Linked DNA regions of Lepisosteus oculatus. The protein of the gene in region 1 interacts with the protein of each later gene in a biochemical or structural test. Links are inferred from orthologs where the notes say so. Each region holds a gene or a part of one and is shown on either strand. Other genes may lie near its edges.

Region 1 (10,490 bases):
AAGTAAATAGTGTTTTAACAGTTATGTTGGTAATAGATCAAATAATAAGATTAATCCTTAAAATTAAGGATCTTAATTAGTAAAAGGAAAATGCCTTGAGTACCCTCCCCCCCCAATAAACCGATTGTTTTTGCACATAATGTTATGCTCACATTGACCATATGATGTACGGCCAACTCCTTTTGAAATGAATTTCCAGATTGTGTTTTCATGTTTTGTATGATGAAGGTCAGTGAAGCTGTTTGAATATATATACTTCCCAAAGGCATCATGAGAGGAATATGTGAGAGTCTGAGAGTTGGTATCTTTTGCAAGGCGGGATTGTGCTTGCTTTTATAACCCGCAGCCAGCGTTCGAGTCCCCATCGGTTCGACATCCCCAAAGTCAAGAGTTTCTCTGGCATCATGTTGTTACACATCCAGAATGGGAGGTATCGGTCAACGGTACAGGTTCTGTTTGTTTTATGGCATTGGTGCATTTTGCACTTTGAGGATGCCAGAGAATCACTTTCAACAATATAGCTGAGCCATATTATGATTTTTGCTAATAATAATCTAATGGTCGCAGTTGTGTACAGATTTTTCCCTCAATTATCATCACTGTAAACATTCACAGAGCAAAGGAATTGCTTCACCTGCTGTTGGATGTCTGATGTTTAACATTTTTTCCTTTTACGCTCCCTTTAAGCCTTGTTTGAACACATTTAAATGAGCCCATAATTAACAACTGTAGTTTTGTGTGTTTATGTATTGTTTATAAAGGTGAAGATAATAAACCCTTCACACTTTTTGTATTCAAGATTATCTGGTTAAAAGTGAAGTGTAAAACATGCGTATCATATCGTATACTGGTGTGCTGTTATGAGCCCGTCGCTAGCCCATCTCCCAGCTCATGAAAGGAGGCAGGAGTGCAAGCCCATCTGCTGATGTGTATTACCTACGAACGTCCTGAAACACCAGAGCCAAGACCGTTGTTTGAAACTTAAACACGCTAGCAGATCTTATTGTTCTTTTGAGCTGTCTACCACCTGCACTGAAAACCTGAAAAAGTGAAGGTTGACCTTCAGAGGTTCTAAGAGAAGCTCGTATGGGTTACAGATGGCTTTTCTACCCCTTCATGTCCGTGGTCTGTCCTTCAATGCCTGTGCTTTTGCCCCTGCAGGACGCTGAGCCCCATGATGCGCGCAGTGCGGAGCAGAGCAAGAAACCCAAAGGACCCGCCCCCCAGCTGCGACAGAAGCTGAAGAAGGAGAGCAAGAAAAAGAGATGACCTGGCGCAGGGGCTGTGCCCGCGTGTGAGATCGCAGTTAGGAGGAGCATCGGAAGTGGCTGTGTCAGGCCAAGGAGACAGATTTGTGACAGGGCGGCTGAGCGATCTCAAATAGATAAAAAGTGAAATCCTTTTCATGCACAGGGGGTTAATATTGAGGCCAAGGGCAGGGTGGAGTTGGACACCTCTGTTTCCTCCGGCTGTGAAGGGGGTGGTCTCCAGAAAGCCCACAGTCTCTGTGGGGGAGGAGCTGAGTCCTAGGTGTCATGTTTTGCCTGTGCTCTGCAGCACCTCACTTAGGGCTTTGGCTTGCAGTGTGAATGGAAATTCCAGAGGTAAAGAATGAGCTGAAGCACACAAGGAAAGGGGTGAAGTGGAGTGCTTCTGTGAAATTCCAAGAATCTGCAGAAGGCAGCCCTTCAGAGCTCAGAATGAAACCTTTCGCTGGCCTGTGCACGCCGTTTTCACTTTTTATCACGTGAACCTGTTACAGACCTGTTTCAGACTTTCTCATGCTACTAAAGCCAATCGTCATCTGTTTACCACTGCATAGCAGCCTTGACTCTGACCAGCTGAAACTTCCTGGTATTGACATACCACATGCTCTCACTAACTGTGGCCTACGTACGTGGGCATTGTTTTTTCGTTGTTGGCTTCAGTAGTCTTTTCAAACCAAATATTTGGACCCTTTGTTTGAACAGTCCATTCCCAAGCATTCTGGACATGGAAGAGACTTGAAGCAAAATCATTTCCTTCTGAAAGCTTTTGTGTGCTTCCCTGGGTTTAGTACGTTGTGCTTGGGCAGGCCTTTCACATAATATATTTTTAATTGGGTGCTTTAAATATAGTGGCCCCAACCAGCATTTTCACTACACCTGTCCATATATAGGAGATGCATGAGAATGATAACTGAATATTGCATACTTAGGAATGCAGCGTCCAAGCACAAGTAATCTTGCGACTCAAAATAGTACGCAAAGTGCACGTACGGTTTTTCTAATAGGTATTTTTACATTTGGTTGACAAATACCCATTGGAGCCACTACTTGTCCTTGTATTATCATTTACAAGTAATGTTTAGGTACAGTACTATCTACACTTGACCTAAACTCTGTGAAATCTCCAGACAATGCATTTTAAGCTCTTGAACACTGGTGTAAAACCTCTTTGAAAAGGTTTGGAACAGTTTATTTTACTACCATTCTTGTTGTGTGCACAGCTGTAAGAAAATCACTGTGTTTAACGTGGGCTTTGTTTATGCTCTCCTCAACTTAGTCTTGTTTGTTACATTTCTCCTTCAGAATGTGTCACGGCATTGTTTTTTTACATATTGCAAAACACTTTTTGCTCTGTCTGGGGCTTGATGTTTTTTGTGTGCCGGCATTTACTCCCTTTTTAAAAAAAATGTATGTAATATTAACATCCGCCATTGCATGCCTTGTTCCTAGAGTGAATCTCTTCACATTTTGATTTCCTTTTTTTTTCTTGTGGCATCATGTCTGTGCACAAAAGCGCTAAAGAAACTGAGGCAAGACTGAACTCGCTTCCTTAGTGTCTGATGTGCGGTACAAGCTGAGATGTTTTCCTGTAAATGTATGGAACACTAAGGAAATAAATTCCGCCTTGAGAATTTTTCTACCCATTTTTGTGTTTCTCCTTATTAAAGTCTGGCAAAGCTTTGTTTTGTGCTTTTAGACTCGTGCAGGTTTTTTCACTTTTATTTTGAGAGCCAAACAATGTAGCCGGGAAGGGTGAGCAAAAATTAATGTCATTGCAGATCTGGAACTGTATCCGAGAGGAGCTCAGTTTGAAAAAGCGAAGGCACACAGTTCCGATGGGGGTTGGTATCTTGCAGCAGCGTTCAACTTCTGGTTTCTAGAGCATGAGTCTGTGTAATTGTAATTTCACATGGATTTAGAATCTGTCCTGTCTGCATGCGGGGAGGAAGCCTGGTTTGAGACTGCTCAAATGCCACTGCACAAACAATTTATTGCCATGCTTTTTCACAGTCCAGTGTCACTCTTGACAATATGTAGCTCCAAGTGATTTAAGAACATTCTTTCCTATGTGAACGTGACATTCACATCCATAGCTTCAAAAAAAAAAACACCCTGTCAAACAGAAGGGGGATTCTGGAGTAGTTGGTATTTTTAAACTACATGTCTCAACTTGGAAATCTTAAAATATGGAAGCTAAACATTAACATGAGGTCCACAGTTATATACCATGTGCGGATTCTGCTTACAAAATTTTAGAAAGGTGGATACACCAGGTAACTTGTAGGTGTTCGTATACATAGAGTATACATGCGTAACTAATTTACATTGTCAGTTTCTCTAAGGTTTATTTACAGGGCCACTGATCTTTTGGAATTTGCATCATCATCCCCTTTGGAATGGAAAAGGCCTTTTCTGTTAAAATACTTCCGTTGTCATTTGTCTAAATGGACATGATGTTATTACTGTGTTAATAGAGTCTGTTGGTTATGGAACTCATCTAGACTAGAATGTCTTTATACTAGAATAATGCAAATGAACTATTACTAACATAATCTAACCCCCATATGAGAAATGATAATAAATCTCTGCACAGTTCTGTAATTTATGGAAAGGCTGAATAAAACTTGCACAGTACAAGTATTCACCTTTAGAGTGATGCTTGTTTAGGTACAATTTAGATCAAACATATTACTGCCAGAAGAGAGGAACTGTATTATCTATGTAATAAAATGGTCCTGTTAATCAGTCTGTGCATTATCAATGCATAGGCAGGTGTTAAAGGTTACTGAAGCGTGTTTACTTTGGCTCAGTTTTGTGCCCTTTGAACAAATAGCATTTTTATGGTGTTACATTCCAATCTTCAAAAGTGGTCACAGTCAGGAGTGGACCAGTGGTTCGCATTGCTGTCTCACAGTGCTGGGGTCCTGGGTTCACATGGATTTCCTCCAGGTGTTCCGGTTTCCTCTCACCGTCCAAAGACATGCCAGCCGATTGATTGGCTTCTATAAAACCTGGCCCTGGTGTGTGTGCCCTGAGAACGACTAGCACGTTCCTTCCAGGAATTATGCTGCCTCGTGCCCACTGCTTGCCGGATTTGGCTCCAGCTCCCAGCGTGCCCCGGTGCTGGATAAGAAGATGGCTGGATGGCTGCTGTCACCTCCATGAGCAGAGTCATCAGGAAATAAGGGTTACAAACAAGGGGAGGCCATGTGGCCCATTCTGTTACTCTTGTGTTTTTTTCTGTATCAAAGTATCTTATCCAGTTGCCTGAAAGGAGTGATGGTATCACCATTGACAAGGTGGCTGGGTATCATACCTCCAACTGAGTGGTCAGTTCCAAAGCAGTCATTTTCATTACTGCCCTAAACAACTGGGCCACAATCATACATGTATTGTACATAAGTAACTGTGGATAAAGGTATCTATTAAGGAATGATCTAAGTCTTATACATTTCTCAATGGCAAGATATTTCTTAATGGAAGGCTGATCCTGAGACCCAGCCCGCTGTACATCAGGTAATCTTTTGTTCATACTCTGCTGACTCATTCTGTCATTCCTGATTTGGGATAAAACCTACAGGAGTGCCACACCTCTCCTTCCTATTTCATTTTGACATTCACTTACACTGAAGCACTGTTACACAGTAACACTGAACCTGGGCCCAGAACGCTTCCTCCTCTCTGTTCTAAAAATGAACACATAAATTCATTCAGTTGGCTTAACTTTGCATTCTCTTCACTCTGGAAACATTTTTTGGACATTTGGTGAGTGTATCAGAATCAGATTTTTATTGTTGTTGTATGAAGTCCACAGATTCACAGCAGGAACTTTGGTATTTAACAGAACCTTACTGCTGATTAATTACTGTCTCATTCTTCCTAAAAATACATTTTGTGCCTGTGTGTATGGCAAAGCTATGTGCGCAGTACTCTGTTTGTCCAGAAATGGTCAATTACAGGGCCAGCGGCTCAGATTGCTTTGGAATGTATAAAATCCACTAGCCACGATCCATCCAAGTTCCGTCAGTGCTCCTGATTTATTTTTATGTTCAGTCTCTCGCCTACAACTGTACAGTCCAAACCCCTGAAAGCCAGTCACCCACAATCCTGTGTCATCAGAAACACGAACTTCGAAAAATCTGTCTTTTTTTTTTTCTGGCAGCGCTATAGTGTCATGCACAGGCGTTCCCCCAGCCTATATATAACGTGTCACATCAAGGTGTTCATATATGGGCACCAGCAAGGCCATCCTTTCTGGGAAGCAGCGTTCCCCTTTGGTGTCCACTAGGCGGGGTTGTTTTATATGTAAATTCCCAAACCCCCTCCTTCTAAAATCCATTGGCTTCTTCCGATTCTTAAAAGATCGTACGCAGGCAGCAGTGGGATAGCCGCCCAGCCACACCAGCTGGGAGCCTTTTACGCCGATTCCGTAGCGCCCTTCGGCCGATCCTACCTCCCCTTTCGCTCCCAGCCTTGCGAATGGTCTCGCTGTCTGCCTCCTTCAGCCAAGGTCTGTTTTTCACCATATGTGATTAGGCAGCGCACTGCGCTGCTGCGCAAAAGATTGATCTCCCGTAATAAACTATTTTCTTTTTTTTCCCATTTTCCCCCAGATCCATGTGTTTATTAGGCAAGGCATTCGGGAGGTGGATATCTCCTTGCCTTTTGTAATCTCTTGGATTTTATAAAAGTTGAATTCAGCACTCAAAATCGGTGCTGTTTTTTTTTTTCCCCAGGCAATCCCCGCAATGACCTCGCTGCAGCCCTCCGATCTCTTGAATGGGATTTCAGATCACTCCTAGCATTTCGTTTCTGCTCTTAGCCCTGCGTGCCGTATCGGTTGTCTTTTTGTGTGTGTGTGTGTTTCTTTGGATGACGGAGTAACAGTAACACCTCGGACTTCATTCAAAAGGAACACGTCGCATTTGAGACCAAGGCTACCAAAAGGATATAAAGAACCCGAATAGGTGAGTAACTTATTCTCTTCTGTCTTGCCTAAACCGATCCGGATACTTGGCATTTAGAACAGGATCAATGACAGTCTGTGGTAGCCCTGCATTACTGAAAAAGGCAGAAAGAGATACAGTGTATAGTTTTCTCTTCAGCGTGAGAAATCATCTTGTAAACCAAATGTTAATCTGGGACTAGCCGACCACGTCTCAGTGGGTTTCTCATTGATTCTCATTTTCCCAAGTCGTTTTTAAAAATTCTTATTATATTGCTGTCAATGTCTGAAGCAGATAACAATTCCCTACGGTTTATGATTCTCTTAACAGAGAGGCATCCGCTGAAGGACCGGTTAGTATGTGTCAGTTAAGCCTATAATGTATATTTCTGTAGTTTCTTAGGCTTTTCTAGCCTAAAGTAAACGACATCGATCAAGCCTGTAAATAAAATGATGACTACAACGCAAATGGCTAAATTACCTTTGCTGTTTTCTGTTATTTGTCCAGTTTGCGTGCGACCTAAACGATAGTTTTTTGTTTGTTTTTAGGTGCTTGTTATTTTAAAATTAAAGTTGACTTAAGAGACGAACAGTTAAATTACTGCGTCCTTTTATGGTTTTTCACACCCATAACATTTCTTTTTAAAGCAAGATACATACGGGTATGACTCACCTTGTTGGAATCTGTCTTGTCCATTAAGTTAGCATAAACGTAATGCAAATGTCGGTAACTATGTTTAAGGGAAAGAATTGCAACAATCCCTTTGTTCTTAACACCTTAGATAACACAAAAGTGAGCTGGGTCAGAATGATCTCTTTAAAAGAAATGTAAGACGGCATGACTTGAATTTGTTTCCATGATGTTTGGCCAGCGTTTGCTCCAATGAAAAACATCAAATTCGTCATAAACACATCAGGACAGTTGTCAAAATGTGTAGTTCGAACGAGTAATTTTTCATTCTTTTTGCCCTTAGCATAGTTAAGGGTTGTGTTTTTAGAATTCATGACACACCAGCTGTAGTTTTCTTTTTTGCAAGACAATACACAGGTTTTGACATTTATCCTTGCTCATCACGTGTGTTGAGAAATACTGCAGTCTGGATTTCTGTCGGGACACTGAGTGGAGTGAGACGTACTGTAGACACCCGAGATCATTGTTTGAAATTATTTCGAGAGAATGTGGCCGTAGCAGCAAACTGTCTCAGAAGTCATTTCAAAGTCTCCAGTCACAGCAGAAGTAGGAAACCTCTAGGACTACAGTACTGTGATCTATATTCCGTGATCGTTGAGTCCGCTATAGAATTCCTGTACCGTGATAAAACACATATTTTTTTCAGGAATTCCTAAAAGCATTGACTTTCTAGTGAGTACTGAAGAATAGTATACATATACTGTATATTAATTTTAATGCTGTCTCTGACTTATTTCACACCCAATAAATACTCCTTGAAATGTTATACTTTTCTAGGGTTTTTATTATGCTTTCTGGCAGTTCCATCAAAACCAATTTCTAAAGCAGGAACTTAACAGGCAGTGTGCAACATTAATTTGCTTCCCTCTAAACTAGTTGCAAGCGCTTATTTGTGTGTGGGGATTGGATAATTAATGCCAACCCTGAGATTTGTTTTGAAGCAACTTCACAAAATTTCACAAGTGCGGTGTTACAACATTTTAGTAGGAAACGTACACACGCAGGGCTGATACGGATCTAAGCAAAACCTGCAACAGTGTCAGGTGTGTTGTGTAGCAGGATATGTATCCAGTTGGAAAATATTGTAAAGTAACCATCTAGTATAAAATTCCATTAAAAGTCTAATAATCCTTTACATTTTAGTATTTTTCCATTCATGCAAGATGACTGGACTGGAAGTAGATTTGAGCTCCTGATAAAGTAACAGCATCTGCTATGTGATGATGCCCACCAGAAGCTTTTTCTACCTACTGTATTTGTCACAAAAGACTAATTAGAGCATCACGTTATGTAAACACTGGAGCACATACTGTACAACCCTCTGCATTTGCCTTTTATCTTATTATAAAGTTTCTCAGTTTCCCTTGTTTGGGTTATTAATATTGCATCTGGCCTGTTTTCATTCAGGTTTTTACCTTCATTACTGTGATACATGACTGGAGGCCATGGCATTCATTAAATCTTGAGTTGCATTGTGGTTGGTAATAAAGTACAGGTACACCCTATTAATCATACAGAATGATAAAGGCCTTTCATTGGTTAAACATTGTCACATGATCATGGCACTGAAGCTATAAAAGGGCCTGCATATTGAAGACGTTTTTAAACTGTATAAATCATTGCTTGCCACTATATTGTAGATAACTGCAGTTTCTTGCCATAGCTGCCAAATGACATGTATGCCAAATAGTATTTGTGGAATTCATAACATAGCATGATGTATAACTCTGTGTCCGTCTGCCTAATACTTTCTGGTTTTGTTTTAACTTCAAGTTGAAATATTTTTCTTCACCCAAAAGACAGGCTGATATATTATAAGCAGTGTCCATGTGTCCCAAGTAATGTGGTCCACTACCAGGACCTTAAACCTAATACTCACGCCAAGAGTACTGTCAAGCGACTTGCAGGAAGTGTCGTAGTTGCATAGAATTTTTAGAGTACTGTAGGTTGGACTGTAGTGTACAAATACTTCTTCTTTTTCCATCATGCATCTTGTGCAAGCAAAAATTACCCCTAAATGTTTTTAAATGATTTTGTTAGAAGAGGTATGCATATTTTCTACCCAGCCGAAAAGGGACTTTTGTCTGCAATGAATATGCTGCAACAAAGTGTTTTCTGATCATTTAAGCCTTGTGTATGACGCCAATACTCCTCTTTTCATACCTTCTTTATACAGGATAATTCATATTGTATATGTTGTTCCAAGTATTCCAAATGTTCGTCAGAACATTAGCCATTATTTTCCCTTCGATTGAGAATAGTACTCCCCAGAATGTGGCAGAAATTAGTGGAAATTCTGTATCGCCTCCAGCCACGTTTTTATTTATAACCTTAATTGCTATACAGGATAAGAAATGACGGCAATGACTTCACTCCAAATGCCATTTTGTAGGTGTGAGAACCATTTAGCCCCCTGAGTTCGACATGTTAGCAAAAAGGAGCATGATAATACTGGAGAGTAATTCTGAAAAGTGGGCCGTGAATTTGGAAAGCTGGTGCAAAGCCAGAAATGATATCATTGTAAATCCCTCTATTCAGAATAAAGATACTGTTTGTTCCTAAGATTAATAACACCGGAAGTCTGTTTCCCATGAAACAGTTGACTTGAGTAGAAGGCTTGATCGTCCATCCATTCATTCGTTTTCTAACCAATTTATCCAGTTCAGGGTCATGGGGGAGCTGGAGCCTATCCCGGTAAGCATCAGTACTATTCAGGGCTCCCAAGGTGTCTGAAATTGTCAAGCCTAGGAAGACATATCCCTGTTGAATTTATTGCCTTTGCAGAGCAAGGGGATCTTTCTCTAAAGTGCATGGAATTCCCCTTGCTTACTTCAGATTGTCAGAAATAGTGAAAGGGATTAAAGTTTGGAGTGTCTTCCCACTTAAAAATGAAAAAAAAAATACTTGGGGGTTTCCTTCTGACTGCAGCTTGTCACTTGATCATCACACTCTGTCTCAGTTTGTCTACCGGCACAGACGCTTGGCTGAGCTCAGGCGGGTGCCAGCCAGATGACCAAACACTCATTCACACATTTTGTCCTTTTTCAGTTCTGCTTGCTTGTACTTTTCCACACTTGACAGAATGAAACTCTGATACAGAATGTGACTAACATACTGTACCACTCCCTGGTTTTCTAGACTAGGAGTTTACTAACCTCCTGCAACTTTGGTTTACTGAATCTGTAATTCACCAGCAACAAGTAACAAGATCTGTAGATGCTTTAATCTTTATTTGCCTGTTTATACAGGCAGAAATCATTTTGAACTTTGGAAACGTGGGTGCGATATTAAGTTGTTCCATTTTCTTTGCTTTGCTTGTATGTTGTAAAGAGTAACAGAAGACTACTTTTGAATGGAACTAAGGAAGGTTTTTCTGCAGATGGCATTTAAATAGGAGCATCAGTTTAACATGGCGTTTAACAGAAGTAACTTGCATTCCTTACACAGAAGGATACTGTGTAATGCACATAAATTGAAGTTTATGTGTGTGGTGTTTTATATTTTATGAATGTTGTCCTTCAAAGTTGTTTGCTGCTTGGTCATCTTCATAAATTCTGACACTACCTGTCGGTTTTAAATGTAAGAT
Region 2 (9,328 bases), on another chromosome or scaffold:
TTACTTGTGCTTTTTTTATCGGACCCGTGTGCAACAGCCTTTTCCATCACTGGGTGAAATGAAGAAGCAGAGCCGAGGGCCAGCGTCCTCACCCGCTCTGCAGTGGGAAAGTGGCACCTCTTAACACCCGTTCTCGAGTGGTCAGATAACCCCTAGCCAAGGACTCATTTTTTTTATCCCAAGTGAAGAACGAAGAACCGGTCGTGACGATCCGTCCGTGTTTTTGGCTTACGGGTGCCCGTTCTGACATGACCTGCCTGGGCTTCTTTCCCCAGATCCACATCACCCACAAGAACCAGGCCAATATGCTGATGGCACCTCCTCCTCGCTCCTCCAGTTTCTTCCACCTGAAGAAGAGCGCCCCCGAGAGTTAACCCCTGGGACTGCGACAGGCACGGCCTCCCGTCCCCCCACCCCTGTCCCACGTCATCAGGGGGGCTCGGCGAGAGAGACGGACAGACGGCACACACCCCTTTACTCTCTTTTTTTCCCCAGAAATTAAGCCCCCAGTCACATCATGGCATGATGGCTGTTTCCACTCTGATCAGCGTAGAGGGGAAAACCTCCTCAAAGACAGATCCCAACATTTCAAACAGAGAAAAGGGTCAGCCACGTATTCATTGTGCTAACCCTCCGACTTGCAGCTCCTCAATGCCACTAACCCGGCCACTTGCAAGCGCCCTTTATTCCAGGTTTTGATTTCATATAGTTCACCCAGACTGTGCAAAAGTATTCCCGAAGTATTTCCAAACAGAATTCCGGACCCTACCTTGTAGTGCACAGGTGAAATTCCTACATGAGCTGTAGTCGGCATTCAATGGGATTGTTGGATCATGACGGCACGCGGACTGGATTCGGGATTGGGAATTTCCAGGACACTTTGGTTTCATCCTCTTTTCTTGCTTTTATCTCCAGTTGGTGTTACAGTGATGCTGTCCTGTCAGTGGCCTTTTCTTGTGTTTTCCAGTTGTTTCTGAAATAATTGAAATGCATTGTCTGCTATTCTTGTACTTACAGAGAGACGGTGCAGGCAAGGGTGGATGTGATATTTATAGTGGTTGTAGAGTCAGACAGGTGTCTTCCCAGTGCACACGCTGCTCATAGCAGACCTCTTATTTAATACTGGTGCGACAGATAAAAACATTCCGTCAGACCCTGGTCTGGTTGTCGGTAGTCAAAACAAAACTGGTACTACCAAAGGTACAGCATGCTATTTCTTAGACACTGGCAGATCAGTGTAAAGTTTAACTTTCGACATGACTTTTTTCCCGTTTACAGCTTGACAGCGCCCCCCTGTGGCTGGCTGGGGTCCTGCATACCTGCAAAAGTGAGAATTGTGTCAATCCTGCATCCTGCTCCTTGTTGTTTGTGCTGTATGGCTGTAGTGTGAAAAAAGACAATGCATGTTTTGGAGGAAGTGTGCATGGTTCCTTTTATTTAATGTAGGTGGTAGCAGAGAGATCTGAACCGATTAATGAATGCCAGCACCAAATTGCTGTAATGCAAGGAGATAATTTAATCAGTCCCTCAGACTTTTTTTGTCTGAAATGTAAAAGGTAAATAGACTATCCTGCAGCTGGGTGGTGAGGCTTAGTTGCACTTTTACTTCAGAGGTTGCTGTGCCTTAAGACTTTGGTCTTGTGCAACATGGAAAAACGTCCCCTTGTCGTTTCCGGATTACAGTGATTATCAAGTCTTAAATATTCAGTCATTCATGAACTTTTCAGCTTTGAGTGACGCTCAATTGCTTCCCCTAGCATCCAGTTGTTTAAAATCTTTTTAGAAGGTGTTTTTTTGTGGAACATTTACTGGGCAGAACAAGAAAAGGTCATGAGGAAATAGTTTAGCTTTTACTCATTGGACTCAAACAGTCTCTGTACTGTTCTATAGCTGCTCTGTGAACTGAATCCAGATTTGTGCTACAGTAGTCAGCGAATTTATTAGAACACCCTGTTGCTTTGGTAGTTTTGATGTGCTGAGCATGTAAAATCAAACCACTGTGTATTAAAATCTTCAAAAAACTATCATAACGGTCTGTGTTTGATGGCTTTAATTAGCTGCTGAATTCAATTTAAACCAGAACAAGAAGAGGAAAAGATAAAATGAAAGGGGTTGTCTAGAAATTTGGAGGTCGGTCGTACAGTAAAGAACCAACAGCAGGCAGAATTACATCTCGCTGTGTGATCCGAGAAGCTGTTTGGAACCACGATTCTGTGTTCCGAGAAGATCCTTATGTAGACAATTCTGAGAAATGTCAAACTTTGCTTGAGGTTCTAAATTAGTTCCTTACAAGATGTGTTTGCAAAACTGAATGACTAGTTTTTTTTCTGTAGTGAATGAATACTTACTTGTGTGTGTTCTGAAGCTCAATAAAAGACATTTACTGAGGTGTCACAGTATATGTTTTGCTTTTGCTCTTGGCTCTGCAGTGACAGTCTAGCCAATGCACATGGTTTATGTTATTACAGGTTCCTGGGAATCATGTGATATCAACATCTTAATAGACGTGCAGCAACTGTAAGTGTGGTTTGTAGACCACACTTTATTGTGTTTGCTAATGTATACTTTTCAAACGCTGAAGTCCCCAGACTCAGCTCAGCCTGGTTTGCATTTTAGAGACGATGTTCTGTGGAGCCATTCTTATAGTGTCATAATAAATCAAATACAGAATCTGTGTCAGTTTGCTGCCTGGCTGGCTCTTCTGTCTCGTCTCTGATTTCTATGTTGGTAAAGATAATACAGCGGGCATCTCTGGCCCCTGGAGGCTAATACTGCTGGTGGACTTCAGGTCACTGGTTGTATAGGACGTTGGGTCGCTGGTCAGTGGTGCTGGTGGACATCGGATCACTGGTCACTGGTGCTGGTGGATGTCGGGTCACTGGTCTGGCGGACATCAGGTCACAGATGCTGGTGGACCAGACTGGGCTACTGATATTAGTGACCTGACTAGCACCAGCAGCCATATCGCCCTGCAGCTCATAACTGGCAGCCCACTGAAGCTCTGCAGGTGTGAGCCTCCCTCGATGGGAGGCCACCTGGGAGAAACTAAGGTTGCTGCTGGTGTAGCGGAGCTAGTTTGGATACGGTGACGTCATCGCCCTCCCTGGGCGTAGCAGGGACCTCAGCTGCCTGGGCTGAGGGAGGTCTCCTTTAGCTCACACGGCTGGTTCCCTGTTGCGTTACGCCAGAGACCCGGGTTCGAGCCCCAGGTGTTGCGGGATGAAACGGGTGGCAGAGGGCGGTCATGGTGGTTAGTGTTCTAGGATTTGGTGTCCACTCCTCTGGGCTCTGAGCCGGAGGGTCGTACACTCATCTTGCTCCTATCTGGGGTGGGCTGACTGGTCTCTTCAGACCATCTTCTCTGTCAAGACTACAAGAGGTCAGTTCCATCACCGTGTCAGTGCAGGACTGGTCACCCTGCAGACACACTGATCCTGCAGGACCAGGACTGGACACCCTGCAGACACACTGACCCTGCAGGACCAGGACTGGACACCCTGCAGACACACTGCCCTGCAGGACAAGGACTGGACACCCTGCAGACACACTGACCCTGCAGGACAAGGACTGGACACCTGCAGACACACTGATCCTGCAGGACCAGGATGGACACCCTGCAGACACATTGACCCTGCAGGACCAGGACTGGACACCCTGCAGACACACTGACCCTGCAGGACAAGGACTGGACACCAAGCAGACACACTGACCCCCCAGGACCAGGGCTGGACACCAAGCAGACACACTGACCCTGCAGGACAAGGACTGGACACCAAGCAGACATACTGACCCCCCAGGACCAGGACTGGACACCCTGCAGACACACTGACTGTGCAGACACACTGACCATCCAGGACCAGGAAAGGTTTTTTTAAAAAGTCAAGCAGGTATACATCATGTGTAATACTTCTGTAACAGCTCTGAGCGCAGCGTAACAGTACAACGGTCTTTTCTTAAAGACAGACACAAAATACAGCCCAAATAGAGTACTTAACTTATGACCCCGTAGGTCCTGTGGTTGGAAAACACGAGCATAATAAACCGGCTTAAAGCTGTCAAAGATGGCGTTGGTGTGGCATGCCTAAAAAAGGGTTTTCTTTAACTCTCTCTGCTTGGCGCAGTCAGTTAACGCACATTACCCGGTCCGATTGGTGTGGTGCGAGATATAAAATAACCTACATACATGTGCAAACAATCTCAGAAGACGAATGAGACTACTCAGAGAAAGGAGGAGAGACGGGGGGGCTCCGTCTGGCTGTTAGCTCAAGTGTCTGAGGTTTTATAACTCGGAGTAATCAAACTCCAGTCTATAATGTAAATGAAAACCGTGTGTTAAAAATTGAACAACGCTCAGAGCGCAACTTTTGTCTTTACCGACTACATACAGTAGGGGGAGCCCGTGTACTGCATTTCATCACCCCCTCCCTGTGAACATCTGGCAACTCGGAGGGACACATGCAGTTGTTTTTATTCAATTTCTGGGGAGTTCTGTTGTTTTAAAGGGAATGTGCAACTCATCCCAAGGGTCGCGCGGGTACCTGTATTTATCAAACTTTTTTTTTAATCAAGCAACAAATGGCAATATTACAAAGGCATGGCTTTGCAGCGACATCTGCGATAGTAATTCTGACCATGACGAAATTATATAGATAAGTACGTCTATGGCGCTTTGTCTGTAAACGGAACAACAGAAACGTTCGCTTAAGAAAATGTCGTCAGCATTATTTTTTACTGCTGCGCTCTAGAAGAACGGCTTTACAGCGGTGTGGAGCGAAACCCCGGAGCTCTTCGGGAACCCAGCACGTCTCGATGCCAAGTCACTCGTCTCTGCTCCAGCCCCTCTCTTTGTGCACCTCTGTGATCACAAGGCAGGACTCCAATTAGAAGCGAATTCCGACATCGACGGCGATATTAAGATCGTGTTGCCCCGTCGCTTTTGAAATGTTTTTAAGCGTCTAACTCATTCTTGAAAGATGTTTCAACACAAATCTGTCACAGCAGTAACGCGTTTCATCGTAGCCAATTCGGATCTACTCTTTATCGAGTCTCTCTGCAGCACCGCAGAGTCAACGGAATACATCACTCGTTTTAAATATTAGTTCCTCAGAAAATGCTGTAATTCGCAGGAGACTGCGTTCTGGGCGGTGTGTTTTTTTTTTTAGCATGGTCTGAGTTTAAAAGTCCGAAAACAAAAGCTTCGTCTTTCATTGAAAAAGAGGAACCTCGGAGATACGTCCCTCCTCACCCCGCCCATAACAGACTGCGCACAAAAAGTTTCTCCCGGGGCTGCGCTTTCAAAAGCAGCTGTAGAGGCAGCTAGGAACCGGGTCCACGGCGCGGCTCATACTGACAGAGGACTCGTGTTTTCTGAGCTACGCGAACTTTCCCCGCCAGGAAAGAGCTTAGTGTTATTTGCTAACCGGGAGTCCAACATGAAGAACATGACTTTCAGGAGGCTAAAGAAAGTCAACTCCAGCGACCCAGGGCGCTTGCCTTCGCACCACGACAGCGGCGACGTCTACCAGTCATCCGCCTCGGACACCTACGGAACGGTGGAAAAGTGCAAAAACGCTTCGGACGTTTACAATTACAAGACGCTGGCTTACTCCGGAGGAACACTGCCCAGGAATTTTAAAAAGGTACATATTTCTGTGGGTTTACCTCACCTGGAGAGCCTCAGCACACCGAGTCCCGTCTTACTGCACTCGGATATTAAGTTTCCCAGATCGAAGCTGGGATTCGATGGCTTTTGTGTTTTTGTTCCATATTCGAGTATTGTTTTTCCTATTTTAAAATCGTAAACCGGTTTGTTTGAAAATAAATTGGTTTCTAACCAGTACTGAAGACGCTGTCGGTGCGTTTTGGTAAACACGCAATGTTAAAAAAAATAAACTTGTGAAGAGATCTAGAGATTTAGACCGTGGCTACCTGGGAGCTGTTTTTATTATTAATTTGGGGTGGTAGAACATTTTGTCTAAAGATACAGTTTTATTCTTACATTAGGGCACCTGACGGAAATTCGCTCAGATAATAAGTGCATCATCAGCGACATAATCTACCTCTTGTTCTGTTCAAGACGAGTTTCGCCTACGGTTTCTTTTGGAAAGGGACTTCTGTCATTCTTGGGTTGAGGTACCGGAGAGCGTTGCTGTGTTCTATAAAACTGAACCCGAATCTGACTTCGTGGGCTTCACAAGTCTCCGTTGTCGGCAGCTCACCCCCCATCACACACACACACTGAGTACATATGCTAACGAGAGTGCCTGGAGATAATTACCCAGGGAGGCAGCCGGCCCGTGAAGAGGTGCGAGATCATTTGAAGCTCTGTGGTTGTGAAATGTAAGGAAAGAGAAAGGGCAGATCCGCCGCGTTCTGACTCAGACACCTGGGCACTGTTTGGAAAGTCTACTTCAGCGCACAGATATTTGCATGCTGCGCTCCAGTTCATGAACTCTGACGCACGGCTTCGCTTTGCGAGCCTTGTGTTTTGAATGTAGAAATGTTTCATCCCGAACGCGACAAGACCAGTTACTGATGTCATTGTAGGAAATCATGCGACAAAACCGCGTGGTAGGGCTTCCTAACAAAGGGAACTACGGAGTGACTGTCGTGAGCCTTTTTGGATCAAGACGTCAGCTAATTGTGTTGGAAAGGCGTTGATGCGCGTCTGTGCGTGGCGATGCCTGCGGAATCTAGCACCTCTTGGAGAATGTGGGCGATTTCCCACCCGCGTTTACAAGATGTGGGGAACTACGTGTGCGTGTTATCACCTTGCTAAGCGATGCTCAGCGGGAATCCGAACAAGACTGCATTTGTAAAGGAGTGTCTGGCGTCTGTTAGCCCTCGGACACCAGCTGATCCAGCAGTTGGGGTAATTTGCATTGCTAAGGGTAGCCGGCAGCGCGATTACTGGCGCAGCGAAGTGAACTTGAAGTCGTTCAGAGTAATGAATACACTGGGGCTGTTTTTGGTGGACCAGTCACAGAAAAGACGATTACTTAGCAGCAACGAGGATGAAAACATTACGACAGCAGGAAAATGCCTAGTTATACAAATCGCACCTGGAAAAATAATTTCAGATAATAAAGCAAAACATTCTGGTTGTTTTTAAAAAAAAAAAAATAAACAGCCTCCGTTCTCAAGATAAAGCAATCGAGTTTTCTATCCGCTTTGACTGCACAAATAAACGCACGTGTCGGTTTTAATTAGAGTGCTCAATTAACAGCGAGGGGCGGGGCTTTAAGGACGGCCTTACAGCTGCGGAAAGCCGAGGCGCTGTAGCTTATCCGAAAGATGTTCGGGACTCTTTTCTTTTAACACAAAAAGCCCCTAAAACTTGTGGCGCCCGACCCCCCCTCCTCCCTCCTCCATCCGCCCTGCTATCAAGACCACCCACTCCGTCCTGCCACAGAGCGCAGACCCCCCCCCTTGTTTACCGCAAAATTTTCAGCACTCTGGTCGTGGGCTTGTTTGATTTCTCAAACAGTTCTATATATTGTGAAGCGCTCGGCGAAACAACGAAAGGACTATGTGCGTCACCGAGGGCTCTTCGTGAGCAGCCGGTGCTTTCTGACAGTGAAGTCCTGTGGAGTTTGGCTTCGCACGCCGAACTCCGGACCCATTTCTTTCCAGATAGGTGACCTTTTCACACACACGAGACAAGTTTGGAAGATTCTTCTAACCCTCCCCCCGATAATATACAGACCAAGATAACCTTAAAGAAACGCACCTCATGTGAAATACAGCCAGATACCACTGAAAAACGTGGAAAGGGTAACTGTCAACCAGTTATTGTTGAGACCAAGAAAAGAGGGCAGATATCCCTCCCCATGAGATTAATTAGTGCATAGCATTTAGCGCTAGGCAGGAACTTCTTCCTTGTGTTTCTTGAAATCGGTTGTGTTACCACAGACTTGGGGCTGTCTCGGGATGCTGGATTAAAAAAGTCGGATCTCTTCTTGGATGTTTTGACTGTGTCTGATCTGCCAGCATGGAGTTACCCAGGCTAGAGCTCTGCAGGGTGTTCTCCTACAGTCCAGTTCGAGGCCTCATGAGGTCAATCCAAAGAGACTTGGTTTGAGGTGGCGGGGAAGCAGATCAACGTGACGCAGGCTGCAGGGCCGAACGCTTGACCGTTCAGCTTCAGAGTAGTGTGCGACTCTAATTCCCCCCCCCCGAACCTATCTCAATGGCTCTCTGTTGAAAGGGGGAGGGTGGTTAATGGCACTGTAACAAAAAACTGCATCAGAAAACCAAGCAAAGTGTGAAGTGTTGTGCATGAGGACTCGGATCCGGAATAATCAGTCCAACATGTGAGAGGAGACTGCATGATATGTGTGAATGTCTGCGGTTTGGCATTCTTAAAAAGAACGTTTTTAATTTTTTTTTTCTCTAAAGCACTATGAGAGACCATTTTTAAAGGAGCCATATAAATAGTAAAATTTATTGATTATTTAAAAATGGTGTCCTGGAAGAGTGTGTGGCTGTGGCAGGCCAGGATCAATCATTCCTGCTTCCTCGTTGTCCCAAGTCCAGTCGGAATCAGGGGTCGCTTTGGGCACAGAGAGCCACCAGGTGCAGCTTTTTGCTAAGTGAATAAACTGCCCCCACCCTCCCCCTCCCTCTCTCCCACCTCCCCCACGCACACGCACCGGCGGAGTGGGTCCTGGTACAAAAACACATTGTGTGATGGGCTCCGCCCCCGCACGAGACTCCCCTGGGACCCCCAGGAGTCGGGGGGCTATGAACAGAGTCATTCAAAAGCCCCCGGAAAATTTCTGTTGGTGTCCGGCGTGGTGGCTCGTACAGGAAGCCAGTATTTCTTCAGGCCCGTTTAACAGCATACCGGCACTCCGAGGAGCAGTCCTGTTTTTTTTTTTTTCAATGCATGGCAGAGATCGAACAGAAGCGGACTGGCTGTTAAGAGCCCGCGGAAGGGAACTGTGTTTGTACAGCAGGGAGGGCGGGTGGGGAGAGCCACCTCATTTTTTATGATTTGGGGGATTTTTATGCGCAGACTGGGATCGGTGGTCTCCTGCAGGGGTCCGCACAATGTCAGCGTTGTCAGGCCTTTCGGGCGTTGAGGCTCCCTGCAAAGTCCTGGGAGGGTGTCCAAAATCTTCCAAAACGCGGGACAGGTCGCAAAGTCATCGGGATTTGAAATTGGACCCACCCCGAAACAGGGGACTTGAACAGACGCTGAAATAGGCTGATTTGTTTTTTTGGGGGTGGGGGGGAGTTCTCTTTTTGGGGGATGCTCTGGGGTATTAAAAGTTGCTCTGGCTCTGCCGTCTTGGGGCTGTGCAGAGGCAGGCGGCGTGGCTGGAAG

The links.
Region 2: of the proteins of src (region 1) and tamalin, one has a biochemical effect on the other in vitro, tested with the Homo sapiens proteins (2 studies listed by BioGRID and IntAct, with this or other methods). The link is inferred for Lepisosteus oculatus from reciprocal best matches to the Homo sapiens genes SRC and TAMALIN.

What each region holds. Positions count from the first base shown.
Region 1 is NC_090711.1:12,029,418-12,039,907, forward strand, and holds the start of src (proto-oncogene tyrosine-protein kinase Src), read left to right. Parts: upstream 1-5,680; 5' UTR 5,681-6,235; intron 6,236-10,490. Other genes in the region: protein MANBAL, read left to right, coding at 1,162-1,269. UniProt on the Homo sapiens protein: Non-receptor protein tyrosine kinase which is activated following engagement of many different classes of cellular receptors including immune response receptors, integrins and other adhesion receptors, receptor protein tyrosine kinases, G protein-coupled receptors as well as cytokine receptors.
Region 2 is NC_090696.1:15,727,531-15,736,858, reverse strand, and holds the start of tamalin (general receptor for phosphoinositides 1-associated scaffold protein), read left to right. Parts: upstream 1-4,794; 5' UTR 4,795-5,432; coding exon 5,433-5,639; intron 5,640-9,328. Other genes in the region: dgkaa (diacylglycerol kinase, alpha a), read left to right, coding at 276-374. UniProt on the Homo sapiens protein: Plays a role in intracellular trafficking and contributes to the macromolecular organization of group 1 metabotropic glutamate receptors (mGluRs) at synapses.